3 separate regions of the Mus musculus genome follow, and all the other regions are reported to be linked to region 3. Evidence: microRNA targets listed by miRTarBase, many of them from high-throughput screens and not tested one by one. Region 3 holds a microRNA gene; each other region holds the end of a gene's coding sequence.
What was found. Region 3 holds the annotated microRNA mmu-miR-5113 (ACAGAGGAGGAGAGAGAUCCUGU, at 1,604-1,626, shown strand). A microRNA usually pairs through its seed, bases 2 to 8, with sites in the 3' UTR of a target mRNA and lowers its output. Matches are read on the target gene's strand: a 7mer-m8 pairs with bases 2 to 8, a 7mer-A1 pairs with bases 2 to 7 and ends in A, and an 8mer does both.

Region 1 (4,241 bases), not on the chromosome of region 3:
TCTGTGTACCACATGCACGTTTCATGCTCACAGAGGCCAGCAGAGGGCATCAGATCTCCTGGAACTGGGAGTTATAGATGGCCTTGAGCTACCTGTGGGTACTCATACCTGAACCTGAATCCTCTGGAAGAACAGCAAGTGCTCTTAACCACTGTGTCACCTCTCCAGTCCACACATGTTACTGTGTATTAGTTTCATTTTCTGTTGCTGTGACAAATATCCTGCTAAAAGCACTTTAAGGGACAAAGGGTTATTATGCTCGTAATTCCAAAGTTACAGACTACTGGGGAGTCAAGGTGTCAGGAACTTGACACATATCACAGTCAAGAGCAGAGAACAAATACACACATGCCTGCCAGTGTTCAGCTGTCTCTACACTAAGGATCTGCCTGCCCAGAAAATAGTGCCACCCACAGTGGGTGGATCTTCTTACCTCAACACAATCAAGATAATCCCACACAGACATGCTCACAATGGGTCAGCGAGATCTAGACAGTCCCTCAATGAGACTCTCTTTGCAGGTGACTCTAGATTACGTCAAGTTGGCAAATTAACTGTCACAACTGGAAACTGAACTTATGCCTTTGTTAGGTAAATACTATAGGGCTGGTCTTAACCAAAGTCTCTTTCTTTATCTACCTTCCCTCAGTAGAACTTGAAGTCTTGTAACACCCTTTGGCTCATCCGTTTTGCCTCCAGAGGACCTGAGTTCAATTCCCAGCATGGTCTAGAAACGATTTCTTTACCCCTTCCTGCTACACTACATGAAAGGACCATGCTCTTCATTTATTCCAGTCCTGAGCAGTTTATTCATTCATTTCATATTTGAGTGCTCTTCTGAGAAGCAGCCACACTAGTTCCCAACTCCTGGGTTCCCTGGTATCCCCATCGCACCAAACCCTTCAAACACTGCAATCCTTCTAGGGCTGCCTTCTTTGTGTTACTGCTTAGGAGGAAGCCTCTTCCTGCAGTCTTCCCGAACTTCTACACGTAATCTGCCTAAGCTATAGCAAAGACTCAATAGAAATTGATATAGCCTTTTGTTTTTTCTTTACAAAGGCCATCTATTTCTGAGACAGGCTCTCTCTGCATAGCCCTGAATGTCCTGGAACATAGACCAGACTTGCCTCCAATTCAAGGGATCTGCTGGACTCTCCTGAATGCTGGTATTAGGTGTGTACCACTACACTTCTGTAATAGGCAGTTTTTGCAGTAAGAAATCAGGAGCTGAGTATGGTGGTACATACTTGTAATCCCAGCAGCCAGGAAGCGGGTTAGAGAAGAGAACCAAAAGATCTGAAGCCTGCCTCTCAAAGCAAAATTTAAAAGAAAAAAAAACAGTCCTCATCATCCCCTACTCTCACCCCAAGACAGGATTTCTGTGTAGCCCTGGCTATCCTGGAACTCTCTCAATAGACCAGGCTATCCTTGAACTCATAGAGATCTACATGGATGTCTTTTAAGTGCTGGGATTAAAAGGGTGCACCACCACCATCTAGCTCCTTTTCGTTTTCTTTTTAGCAAAGCTGGGAAGGAAAGCCAGGGCCTTGTTTACAAAGCACAAGACAGAAGACCCAAGTCAAACGAGCTCAGGGAGATCCTGCCTCACACAGGTGGTGCTGGTGGTGGTGAAGCAGACACAGTTCCTGGACAGTTTAGGAAGGCTTCGTCCTGAAGATGCTAAAGTTCAGAAATCCTTCTATGCAGCTATCTAAGGATCTAAGGTCCCCAAGAATACTCCCTTTACACGGACTAAGAGAGCCAACAAAAGGGCAATATGCATGGGGATGGCTCGGTCAGTAAGTGCTTGCTCTACAAACACAAGGATCTGAGCCCAGACACCCAACACTTAGGTAAAAGCTCTACCCAGCATGGTATCAGGGGCAGAGAAAGGCAAATCCCCAGAGCTCACTGGTTAGTCGAGAAAACAGGTGAGAGTGCACATACCATGTACCCAGGGACAGACACTCACACATATACTACACTTTTTTTTTTTAAGTTTTTTTGAGACAGGATTTCTCCATGTAGCCCTGGCTATTCTAGAACTCACTCTGTAGACCAGACTGGCCTTAACCTCCAATGCCCGCCTCTGTCTCCTTAAGTGTCAGGATTAAAGGTAAGTGCCACTATGTCTAATGTTTTTCAATTGGGGAAAAAAAAGGGTGGGGTGGGGGCTGGAGAGATGGCTCAGTGGTTAAGAGCACTAACTGTTCTTCCAGAGGTCCTCAGTTCAATTCCCAGCAACCACATGGTGGCTCACAACCACAGCAATGGGAATCTGATGTCCTCTTTGTGTCTGAGAACAGTGACAGTATACTCATAAACAAAATAAATAAAATCTTTAAAAATAAAGAAAAAAAAAGAGTTAATTCTTTTGAGGAATTTCAACTTCAAGAATACAACAAAAGAGGCTGGAGAGATGGCTAAGCAGGCGAGAGCACTTGTTGCTCTTGCAGAGAACCACATTCAGTTTCCAGCACCCACCTGTCTTTAACTTCAGTTCCAGAGGATTGGTCACCCTTTTTACCTGCATGGACACTGCTTGACTATGATATACTTACATACATAAAGGCAAAACACACACACACACACACATGATCATATATGTGACATAAGCTTATCAAAATAGATCCACTCTGTAGGAAACTGTATAGATTTTCTAGCTTGATTCCTGGCCCTTGAGTATTTGGCATTCTCTAGGGTCACTTCCTGACCTACCTCCATTTCTGTTTCCTTTGCAGTCCCACACCCCAACCTACCACAGAGGCACAGGGTTCTAATTAGAACGGAGGGTACTGTCCAGGAGCCATTTGTATTAACCTTGTAACACTGCTAGCACTCATTCATGGTGAAGTCCATGGAGCTTCCTTCCACAGAAGTGGAAGATGCTCTGGAGGAAGTGGACTCCTCCTCTAAATGGGTACACCACAGTTAAAGGAACCGTCCTGAGCACTAAAGGGAGAAGTCTAATTATTCAGCTCTACTTCTAAGCAGCTGTATCTGTTACTTGGCTAACTGCCATCAAACTTAAGAAATAAGTAACAGCCCAAGTGTTTCTTTTATTCCCCAAAAGACAACTGCCACACATACACAGTATCTATAATCGTGTCCCTGAAGATAACAAGTGTCCCTGGAATGTAAAAGGAAACCTTGAGAGAAATGGCACCTGGTTCTCAATGCGTAACTAACAGTGAGGAAACAGCCCTTGGAAAGAACAGTCCCTCATCCCTGGGTCAATGGATCGATGGATCCCTGGAAATTGGAATGGATGTAGACTAAATACTTACTGTCTAGCATGCCAAGGGAGTACACTTAAACCTGGTAACAGCTCCTCTAATAAGAACATACATGTAGGATTTCCTCAATGAATCCAACTCCCCAGAGTCTATAGAATGATGCCTTCTGAGTCAGAGGGGAACACACTGTTCTCAGCACCACTTCTAAAGGCATCCAAGAACAAAGGCTGACCCCTGGGGCACCGCTTCCTGCCCAGCTCAAACTTCAAGATGTGGAGCAGGACCGGCCAGACTCTGCAGCCTCAGCCCACCTGGACCCCGGCTCCTCAGGTTCCTCGAGCTTTTCCATCTCTCTTGAGGGTTTCGGAGACTGGCGGGGGCTCTCCTGGGCCTTCAGACAGTACACAGTAGACAATGTCTCGCTGGCCTTGGGTGTCTGTCTGACTGACCATATGAATGGCTGAGCTGGGGTTGTCCTGAGAAGCTGAGAGAGCTGTTCCCTCAACAACCCTACCTTCCTCTTCTGTCTCTTCCTCAGGTCCTGGCCCCCCTAGCACTGTTTCCAGAACAATGCCCTGCAGGCTGCTCTCATTCAGTGCCAATCCCGGATCTGATCCTTCTTGTAACTGCTGCAGCAACTGCTGTGTCAGCTCCACACTCTCATACCGAACTAGCTGCAGTCGCATGTAGCCATCTTCATGTTCCTTGTACCTGGAGGAGAAGGCAGTACATCAGCAGAGGATGGAAAAATTGCCTAGAATCAGAGGGTGAAGATACAAATATGCCATCTGGAAGAAATCTTAGGATTCTATGTGATAGAACTAAAGATTAAGAAAAGGCTTTTAATGGAATCTGTAGCATCAAGGTTCAGAGGCAGGCTGGAGAGATGGCTCAGTGGTTAAGAGCACTTGACTGCTCTTTTTTTTTTTTTTTTAAGATTTATTTTATTATTTTATGTAAATACACTGTAGCTGTCTTCACACACTCCAGAAGAGGGAGTCAGAT
Region 2 (4,241 bases), not on the chromosome of region 3:
CTTAAAATGAATGGTGCTGAGAGGTCCTGGCTTCCACAGTGAGATATAACCCTCAGTTACAAAGGGTTTGGTAACTAAATACGTTGACTCACATTGTAAGAACCATATGCTCTGTAGGCAGCTCATGCATAGTGCCTAATGAATGTCTCCACATACAGAGAAAGGCACAGCCATCCTCTCCTGGGAACATAGGACTAACTAGCTATCCTAGAGGTTTCAGCCATCTCAGGAGTGACTTACGAGGCCATTCCTCATTTCTGGAAGGGAAAATTCAGGCCAAGACATAAATATGCCCCACTGTCCCCATTTACCCCAAACTTCCATCTTCTCAGTATATTAGAGATTAAGATTTGAACATGAAAATTTAGGAAGGAAACGAGCTTAGTAGCCACTTTAAGTACTTTGTGAAATAAACAGGGTCATCACAAAGTCACTTTACCTGACTGGCTATTTTCCAAAGGAAACCTTGATCTTAACTGGTACTTTGGGTTAAGGATAACAAACCTTTGTGTACTGGCCTGAACTTAAGACCTTTTTTCTGTGTTCCTTAGGTATCCACCCGGCATTGTAGGTGTGGCTCCAGGAGGGCTTCCTCCAGCGATGGAAGGGATCATCCCTGGGGGCATCCCCGTGACTCACAACCTCCCCACAGTGGCACACCCCTCCCAAGCTCCTTCCCCCAACCAGCCCACAAAACACGGGGACAATCGAGAGCACCCCAACGAGCAATAGCAGAGAATGCCTGAAGCTAATCCGATAAACTTGGGACCAAGAGACAGTAGAAAACGGATGAATTTGATGGTCTTTTAAACTGATCCTGGACATCACTGATACTGCAGTGTTAAAGCTACAAAAGCTAGAAAACTGAAGATGGTATCTGCTTCCAGAGGTGTGGGAAGACTAGGACGTGATTATTAACGACCAACTTCTGTTATTGTGTGTTAAGTTTTTCATCTGTGCATCAAATCACAAAGAATAAATAGAGCTTTTCCTTTATCAATCCCCTGGGCACAGCAGGTCCTGCAGAGCTTGCTCTAGAATGTTGCATCAAGAGCTCCGAATATCAATAAAAAGTTGAGAGGAAATCCCCATCAAGACTAGTCCCTTTGGTCTCCAGGGGCTGGTGCCTCTGCTGATAGGAAGATTAAAATTAAGCCAAGATGGGGAGGACATTGTTTGCCTGTGTAGACATCTCCACGCACAGGATTGAAGAAGTAAAAGCTCCTATACAGAAGGTTTCACATCTGAGCAGCAGAGTCGGTTCAGTAAAACCCTCTGATACAAAAAAAAAAAAAAAACAAAAAAACAAAAAAAAAAAAGGAAAAGAACAAAAGAAAAAAGTATTAAGTTTCACAAGCTGTTTGTACTCAAATCTATTTTCTCAGTTTCAGATCCTCAGCTATTTTATTGAGTGGAAAGTCTTGGACGAGAAGGGTTCAAGAAGAATAATGTTGCATTTCCTTATGTCTCAGGAAACACTTTTTATGGTAACTTGTCAGATTGTCTATGAACAAACCCACTTTTTTAGACATTGATAAATTCTTTTCTTCACGTGATATTTTATACAAGAACACTTCAGATGTGCTATTAGATGTGACTGATTTTAACAAATCCTATTAGATTTGTATCAGCTAGTTACATGTTCTATTCATAGTCTTTTGTGAATCATTGCCTTTTTGTTTTTAAAGATGGCCTATTTTGAGCCTTTGTATAGGTACATTCCTGTTTTTGTGACACAAAAGAAAAAAAAAACTTTAAACTGTCCCAAACAGAAAAATAATGGCTATCAGAAATGTTTTGTTTTAGTGTGAGTTATCGTTACTGTATTTGTTTATTGTAAAGGTGGACATTTTAGCATTCAGTGCAGTTTTCAATAAAGTAATTAAAATTTCTTTTAAGTCCTGACATTTAAGTACATCTCACCTCTGTAAAAGCTAGCCCTTGAGATGTACATTTACATCTCGCCTATGTAAAAGCTAGCCCTTGACACTGTCAGTCAGTTTCGAACTCTTGTGGTGACAGTGTCTTATCTCACAGAAGTCCAAATTAGGTAGGCTATCCTAAAGATGAGGCAGTGCTTTGGAGTGAAGTCAATTCCAGAAACAAAACTGGTTAATTTTTAGAGTTTTGATTTTAATATGCCCAAATGTAGATGTGAACTCTTTGTTTGGGGGAGGGAGGGTAACCTAATATTTATAAAGTGACTGAAAACTTCCACTTGTACTTACCTTCTGAAGTAGCACTCAATGCTCACAATTCCAAGGTTCCTGTTCCTGAGAGAATGAAGTGTCTTACAATGTAAGCCTGTCTGGCTGCCTTCTTTTTAGGAGGGTGCTCTACCTTAACTGCGCTATAAAATGAGCTCACGTGGAGTACCTTCCGTATTACAGATCTTGTCAGTGACTGTGGAAAAAGAGGCCCCAACCATCTACACAGCAGTACTTAACATTTGTTATGGCTAGTGTAGTAAACCTAACAGTGAGAAACAGAAAGTCAGATCTGAATCCATGGTGTGCCTAGGTTTTGTTTAATTAGATTGTGGTTGCTCAAACAGTCCTTTAGAAATGATTATAAACTGACTCCAAAGAACGACAACATCAGGATAAAAACAAAGTACTGGTTTCACCCTAGAAAAAGAACCATAAAGTCCACGTAGTTATAAAAGTATTACTGTCCAGTCCATCTGAAAATCCCTATACCTGCCACCCAGCCATGTATCATCTTTTACAAAGGACGGCATTACACTTTCTTGGGACAATAATTATGGCTGTTGGTTTAGTTCAAGAGCTTAACATAGCGCTGATTTCCCAAAGGGGTTGGCCATTTCACAGCCAGCAGTCTGCTAGAGAAACTAATGAAAGCCCCATTCCTATCTTAAGAGTCCAAGAAATGGAGCCTTCTTTAATTCTTTCCCACAGGGAAGAATGGGTACCTATCAAATTATGTGTGGTCAGGGTCACTGGTCATAAATAAATAAATAAATAATATAAATACAGAGGGAACTCAGGAAAGGACACTCAAGAATTGACAATATGCAGAACAAGGCTCAATCCTGAGCCTGACTCTGTACCACAAGGTTTGGGTACAACACAGATGCACCTAGAGACCAGTGTTACCCTCTCAGCTCTCTGTGGCTTATTTGGGAGGAAGGTTTTGCTTAACTGGATCTCTGCCTCCTGAAAAATCAACTCTACACATGGAGATCAGCTATTCTAGATGCTATGGATGCTAAGTACTTAGAATGACAGCCTTCTATTGACTTGGTTATCATTCACTGATCAAAATGAAAACGAAATAGTCAATTTGTAGAAAAACACTAACTACTGGAACAGTAACATTTACCAGTATTGTTACCACAATTCATTTATATGGAGTCACCTACTGTGAAAATTACTTTCTGGTTTTAGCATGCAGCATAAATGATCTTTCATCCTGAGAACACCTTTTTATTAAGTGTTCACAAGAGAGAGAACTAAAGACATAACAGCTCATAAGTTTTTTCTTTTTAGTATTCCAGCAAACTTAAAAGTTGTATACACTTCAATACCATCTCATCAGAAAAACAAGATTTAAAGGTTTCACAGCCTTTTCATTAAAGGGGAGGAGAAGAGGAAATGTGTGTATTTGCTACTTTGCAACTGCTTGCCACATCAGTCTAAGTGCTTATCAGGACACTACATGTTGTGTGCCTGAGGAGGTCAGAAATGTTTACCCAGTACTAACATATACCTGAAGTGGTCAATTAACACTCTCCATAAATTTTTTTTCTAAAAAGTATGGTTTTAACTTTAAATAATGCTACAACTAACCAACATGCAAAAATTCTCAGACTACACAGAAACTGATCATACAATGCATTGACCACCTTACTGCATTTTAAAAATCTTTATTCTGTACTGAACTGTATTCCCAATCAGCCTAACCAAAGGCCTGCCCCTAATACAGGGTCTGCTTAGAGCAGAGGTGACAAAGACAGGAAGTAGCTGAAGACTGTCTGCATGGCCGCCTGGGAACAGAACAGGTTGAGTCCAAGTAACTGTCACATAACCCACCCAGGGATGAGTGAGCCTGCTCCCTTTCCATCCATCCATCCATCCAGGGTAGAAGTGCACAAATGCACCGCCCAGAGTCGAGTAAGAACCCCCTTTACAGGGCACTCTTCCAAACAAATACCTAAATAATGAAAGGGGCAAATCGGAAAAATTGAAAACAACAGAAACTAAAACCCTCTTCAAAAAACA
Region 3 (4,241 bases):
ATCAGGGTTCCAATCTGTTCGATTGCCTTTAAACAAAAGCAAAACAACAAGAAAATCCTGATGTTTCAAGTGTCTGACACAAAATGATACCTCAAGGTATATCTCCCCTGCAATGTAAACCCTTCACTCCTCCTTTCTTGACATCAGTGAGCTATTCTTTATACAATAAGGATGTGTAAATAACCAGATAAGTCTTTGAAACATTTTCTTTGCTGTGAAAATAACCCTAAAATATGATATTTGCATGTTAAGCCGTCAGAAGTTTCAGATCTGAATTCTTGTTGATGAAGAAAAAGCAAAGCAGACGGGTGGGATGGCTTTGGGTTTGTGGTTTGCCTATTCTCTCCTGGTGTCCCTCCCCCGCCACAGCACAGGGCAGCAGACCAGTGACCACACCCTGCCCTAACTAAATGCCATCTCTTCCACCACCAAGGCCCCAGGGTGGGCAATATCTGAATTTCTCTCTTCCATATATGATCCATACCCTCCAGGGACTTCAAGAAGTTCTTTGCCGTGTGTGTGTGTGTGTGTGTGTGTGTGTGTGTGTGTGTGTGTGTGTTTACATGTATGCACTTCTTGCTCTTTAAGTGTGGTCCTTTAATCCCCAGTGGAGTTTAGTCCCTGATTTTTTAGTCTGTCCCGTAGCCTTTTTAGCAATGTTCTGGAAATGTATTTCTTACTTAGAAGGAAATTGAGCTTAGAGCTGACATCCTTAAAAATCCTTGTTGGCACATGCTGCCTGTGAGGGTGCTGACAGCCGCTGCCCTCCTAGACCGTGGGCTCCCTTGAACAAGAGTAGAAGATTCATTTTATCTCATTTTAACTCAAATCTATATCTGTTAAGAAGCTATAGTCAAGAGTGCTTTCCTTGATCTGTTTAATGACGACTTCCTTTGAGGGAGGAATCTGGTTGAAAGTGATGGACATCCCTTGCCTATCTTCTGCGTGGCACTGTTCCCTTGGATTTGACTTCTGTAGTTTGTCTGGAGGTCCTTGCTTATCAGTGTGCTTTCTCCTATCGACGGGGTTCTGCCTGCCCTTGTTTCCCTCTCTGATGTTCCCAAAGGGCTTTGCTGATGTCTGCACCTCTTTCTTGGGGCATTCCCCTACTACACCCTTTGCACACACCAGTGACCAAAGTGTATGCAGTGGTCTCAACACATGACATCAAATGGTGCACGCACCTCTAGTGTGCTCACAGATGTGCACAAGATCTGCACCCTTGGCCTTAACTTCAGCACGACTTAAGGTGCAGGAACATTTTTAACAGGTTTAAAAATAACCTTTTCTGGGAGGGAAAATCAAGCAGATCCAACCGCTCCCCACTATCTGCTTGCAACTCATTCTGCATCCAGCCCAGCCCAGCCCTGTTTTGCGTAACCAAAACCAACAACAGAAAGCAACCTAAGGAGAGGTCTCTGGACTGTTTTATCTTTCTCCCTTTCGATGGAGATACAAATGCTGCTTTGGGTTCCATAATCCTAGGGGGCTATGTTTACATAGTGAAACTAATTCTACCAAATCAGGAAACAGTGAGTAGTGAGAGACCCTTCAGTAAGAAATCACTGAGGCTGAACCAGAGGTTTAAAGACCTAGGGATGGGACAGAGGAGGAGAGAGATCCTGTTTAACTCACTGCAACACCAGGGTCACTCCCTCCTCTCTGCTCTCCCTGGCCCTCTTTGCCCCTTTAATCAAAAGGTTCAGAGAAAGACACCAGAAAGAGGCTGAAGTTTTTAAGAGGCAGCTTTCCAACTTTGCACACAAATGGAAGGTACCATGAAAATCCTCTCATCCGAAACACTCGGCAGAAACAACCTGTCAAATCAAAAGGACTAAACTGCTGCCCACGTTGATGCGCTCTGCGAGTTACCTATAAGTGTTTTGTTTTCTTATACTTGAAAACACTTTTACAATATTATGTTGGTGGCTTTCTTTTCTCTCTTCTGTTGGGCAATTGAAACTGCAGATGACAAATGTTAAGGCTGTTTGAGGGGAGAAAAGGAAGGCTGTGGCATTGTCGTTTTAACATAGAGGTTCAGTCAGACTCCCATAGGGTAACATTGTTCATCTTACTGGTTTAACATGGACACAGAAACTAGGCACTTTGGTGGTTCACTTGCACGGCAGGCCGACCCCCTTTCTATATTTTATTTTACTTTTTTAGTATAGTGGTACTTAAAATCACTGGTTCACTTAAAAAACAAATGTTAAACTCTACTAATGTACAAATAAGCTGAAAAGTTGCATTTTATGTGTATTTTTGCCATAGCAGGTACTGTATTTCTCATGCTGGATTTCAAAAAAAAATTATATATATATATATATATATATCAAAAACAAACAAAACTGAAGGGTGGTGTTTTCTCAGATTGTGACAGGTTGATTGGTAAGGATTAAAGTCGTAGTCATTTCATTAAAACTGAGAGATGATGTAATGCATATATAAGAGTTTTCTGAAGGGTTTTTTGGGCTTTTAAACAGCTTATTTTGTTTTTTTTTTTAGTTTTTATTTTATTTTATTTTGGAAAGATATGATTGTATTATGTGCAACTCAGTTGCTTACATTATAACTACAAAATATTTTTGAGTTCCTGGAAAAAAAAGAAAAAAGACTAATAAATGTGTTTGGCTGCTAAGCATTTACTGTTGTCATTTCTGGTTTTAGTCTCATAGTTGAAATGTTTGACCTGCTGGCTTCTTTTGAGTCTCCCTCCCTCCCTCCCTCCCTTCCTCCCTTCCTTCTTTCCTTCTTTCCTTTCTTCCTTTCTCTTTCTTCTCTCTTCCATGAATCTTCCCTCCCATCCCCTTTTGGTCCTCACAAAAGCATGTCAGAAATTCTGCAGTTGGGTTTGAACCTCATTCTGTTTCCACTAATTGCTGCATGTCTCAGAGCTGAAAACCACCTGCCGTGGTGCAGGGTTCAAACTTTCCAAAAGAAACTGAGGGTGACCTTTTGCTATTGCCTCGTGTCTTGGGAAGCCCGAGTTTGTGTTTGCCGGGCACCGAGGTAGAGGAGAGAAGACGCCTCTGCTGCCATCAGCTGCTCGAAAGGAGGTTGTGCTTTTTCAGCCAGGCAGCAGGAAACTCTTTAGAAAAGTTATGCTTGGCATAGTCTAGGTGACAGTAGGTGGTAGCATTGTCCAATGCCCACTGCCAGCTGTACACCGTTATGAGCATGCCATGTATATGCACCCGTGTAACTCACACTCACCTCTGCCACTGGCTGAATCAGCCTAGCAACCCAGGCGATGGTCAGAAATCAGGCCAGCAATTACTCACTCAGTGGTAAAGTACATGTTTGGCACATGTACTTAAAACCCAGCACCACAAAAGCTACTCCGAAATACCTGTGTTGATAAACAGCTGGAATCCTTTTGTGTGTCATCCAGTTCTTTCTTCATAAAGATTGTAAACACTGGCCAGGTGTTGTGGTTCCTGCCTTAATCTCAAGACTGAAAGCTCAAAGCCAGCCTGGAACTCAGAAAAAACACAACCTGTGGGTAGAGCCCAGTGATTGAGATCCTGTCTCTGATCAGTATTTCAAAAATGAAAGTGTATATAAACACTGGGAAATGTGGGGTGGATCTGCCTATCCTAAGCCCATGTCTTATTTAGGTTTTGGCTTCAGAAATGGAGGTTGGCAAAACAACAGAAACCTTCAATATGAGACCTTCATTACCAAAGGCTTTAAATTTCAGCTAGTAGGGTTGGAGGTGCAGGTTAAAACCTCAGCTTTCGGGCCTAGCAAACACAGAAGTGGATGATCACAGTCAGCTATTGGATGGGTCACACGGCCCCTAATGGAGGAGCTAGAGAAATTACCCAAGGAGCTAAAGGGAACTGCAACCCTATAGGTGGAACAACAATATGAACTAACCAGTACCCGGGAGCTCTTGTCATTAGCTGCATATGTATCAAAAGATGGCCTAGTCGGTCATCACTGCAAAGAGAGGCCCATTGGACTTGCAAACTTTATATGCCCCAGTACAGGGGAACGCCAGGGCCAAAAAGGGGCAGTGGGTGGGTAGGGGGTTGGGGGGTGGGTATGGGGGACCTTTGGGATAGCATTGAAAATGTAAACGAGGAAAATATCTAAAAAAAAAAAAAAAAAAAAAACTCAGCTTTCAGGAAATGGAGACAGGAAAATGAGTGGTGTGTGGTCTTTCATGCCTATATAGTATGTTTGAGGAACCCTAGGCTTTGTGAGATCGTCCAGTGTCAGGGCATGTCTTAGGGTTT

Region 1: miRTarBase lists Hinfp as a target of mmu-miR-5113. Seed matches in the 3' UTR shown: 7mer-A1 at 3,408-3,414.
Region 2: miRTarBase lists Ctbp2 as a target of mmu-miR-5113. Seed matches in the 3' UTR shown: 7mer-A1 at 1,273-1,279.

What each region holds. Positions count from the first base shown.
Region 1 is chr9:44,292,634-44,296,874 of GRCm38, forward strand. Hinfp (histone H4 transcription factor) reads right to left here. Exons shown (of 10, transcript NM_172162.3): 10 at 3,040-3,947. The coding sequence ends at 3,563. Among named protein-coding and RNA genes, the nearest start is that of Abcg4, 6.5 kb to the left of the region's middle.
Region 2 is chr7:132,984,662-132,988,902 of GRCm38, reverse strand. Ctbp2 (C-terminal binding protein 2) reads left to right here. Exons shown (of 9, transcript NM_001170744.1): 9 at 552-1,892. The coding sequence ends at 732. Zranb1 (zinc finger, RAN-binding domain containing 1) reads right to left here. Exons shown (of 10, transcript NM_207302.3): 10 at 2,512-4,241. Among named protein-coding and RNA genes, the nearest start is that of 4932437C15Rik, 15 kb to the left of the region's middle.
Region 3 is chr15:80,938,446-80,942,686 of GRCm38, forward strand. It overlaps Mir5113 (microRNA 5113), which reads left to right and starts at 1,594; the gene lies at 1,594-1,675. Tnrc6b (trinucleotide repeat containing 6b) reads left to right here. Exons shown (of 25, transcript NM_144812.3): 25 at 1-2,641.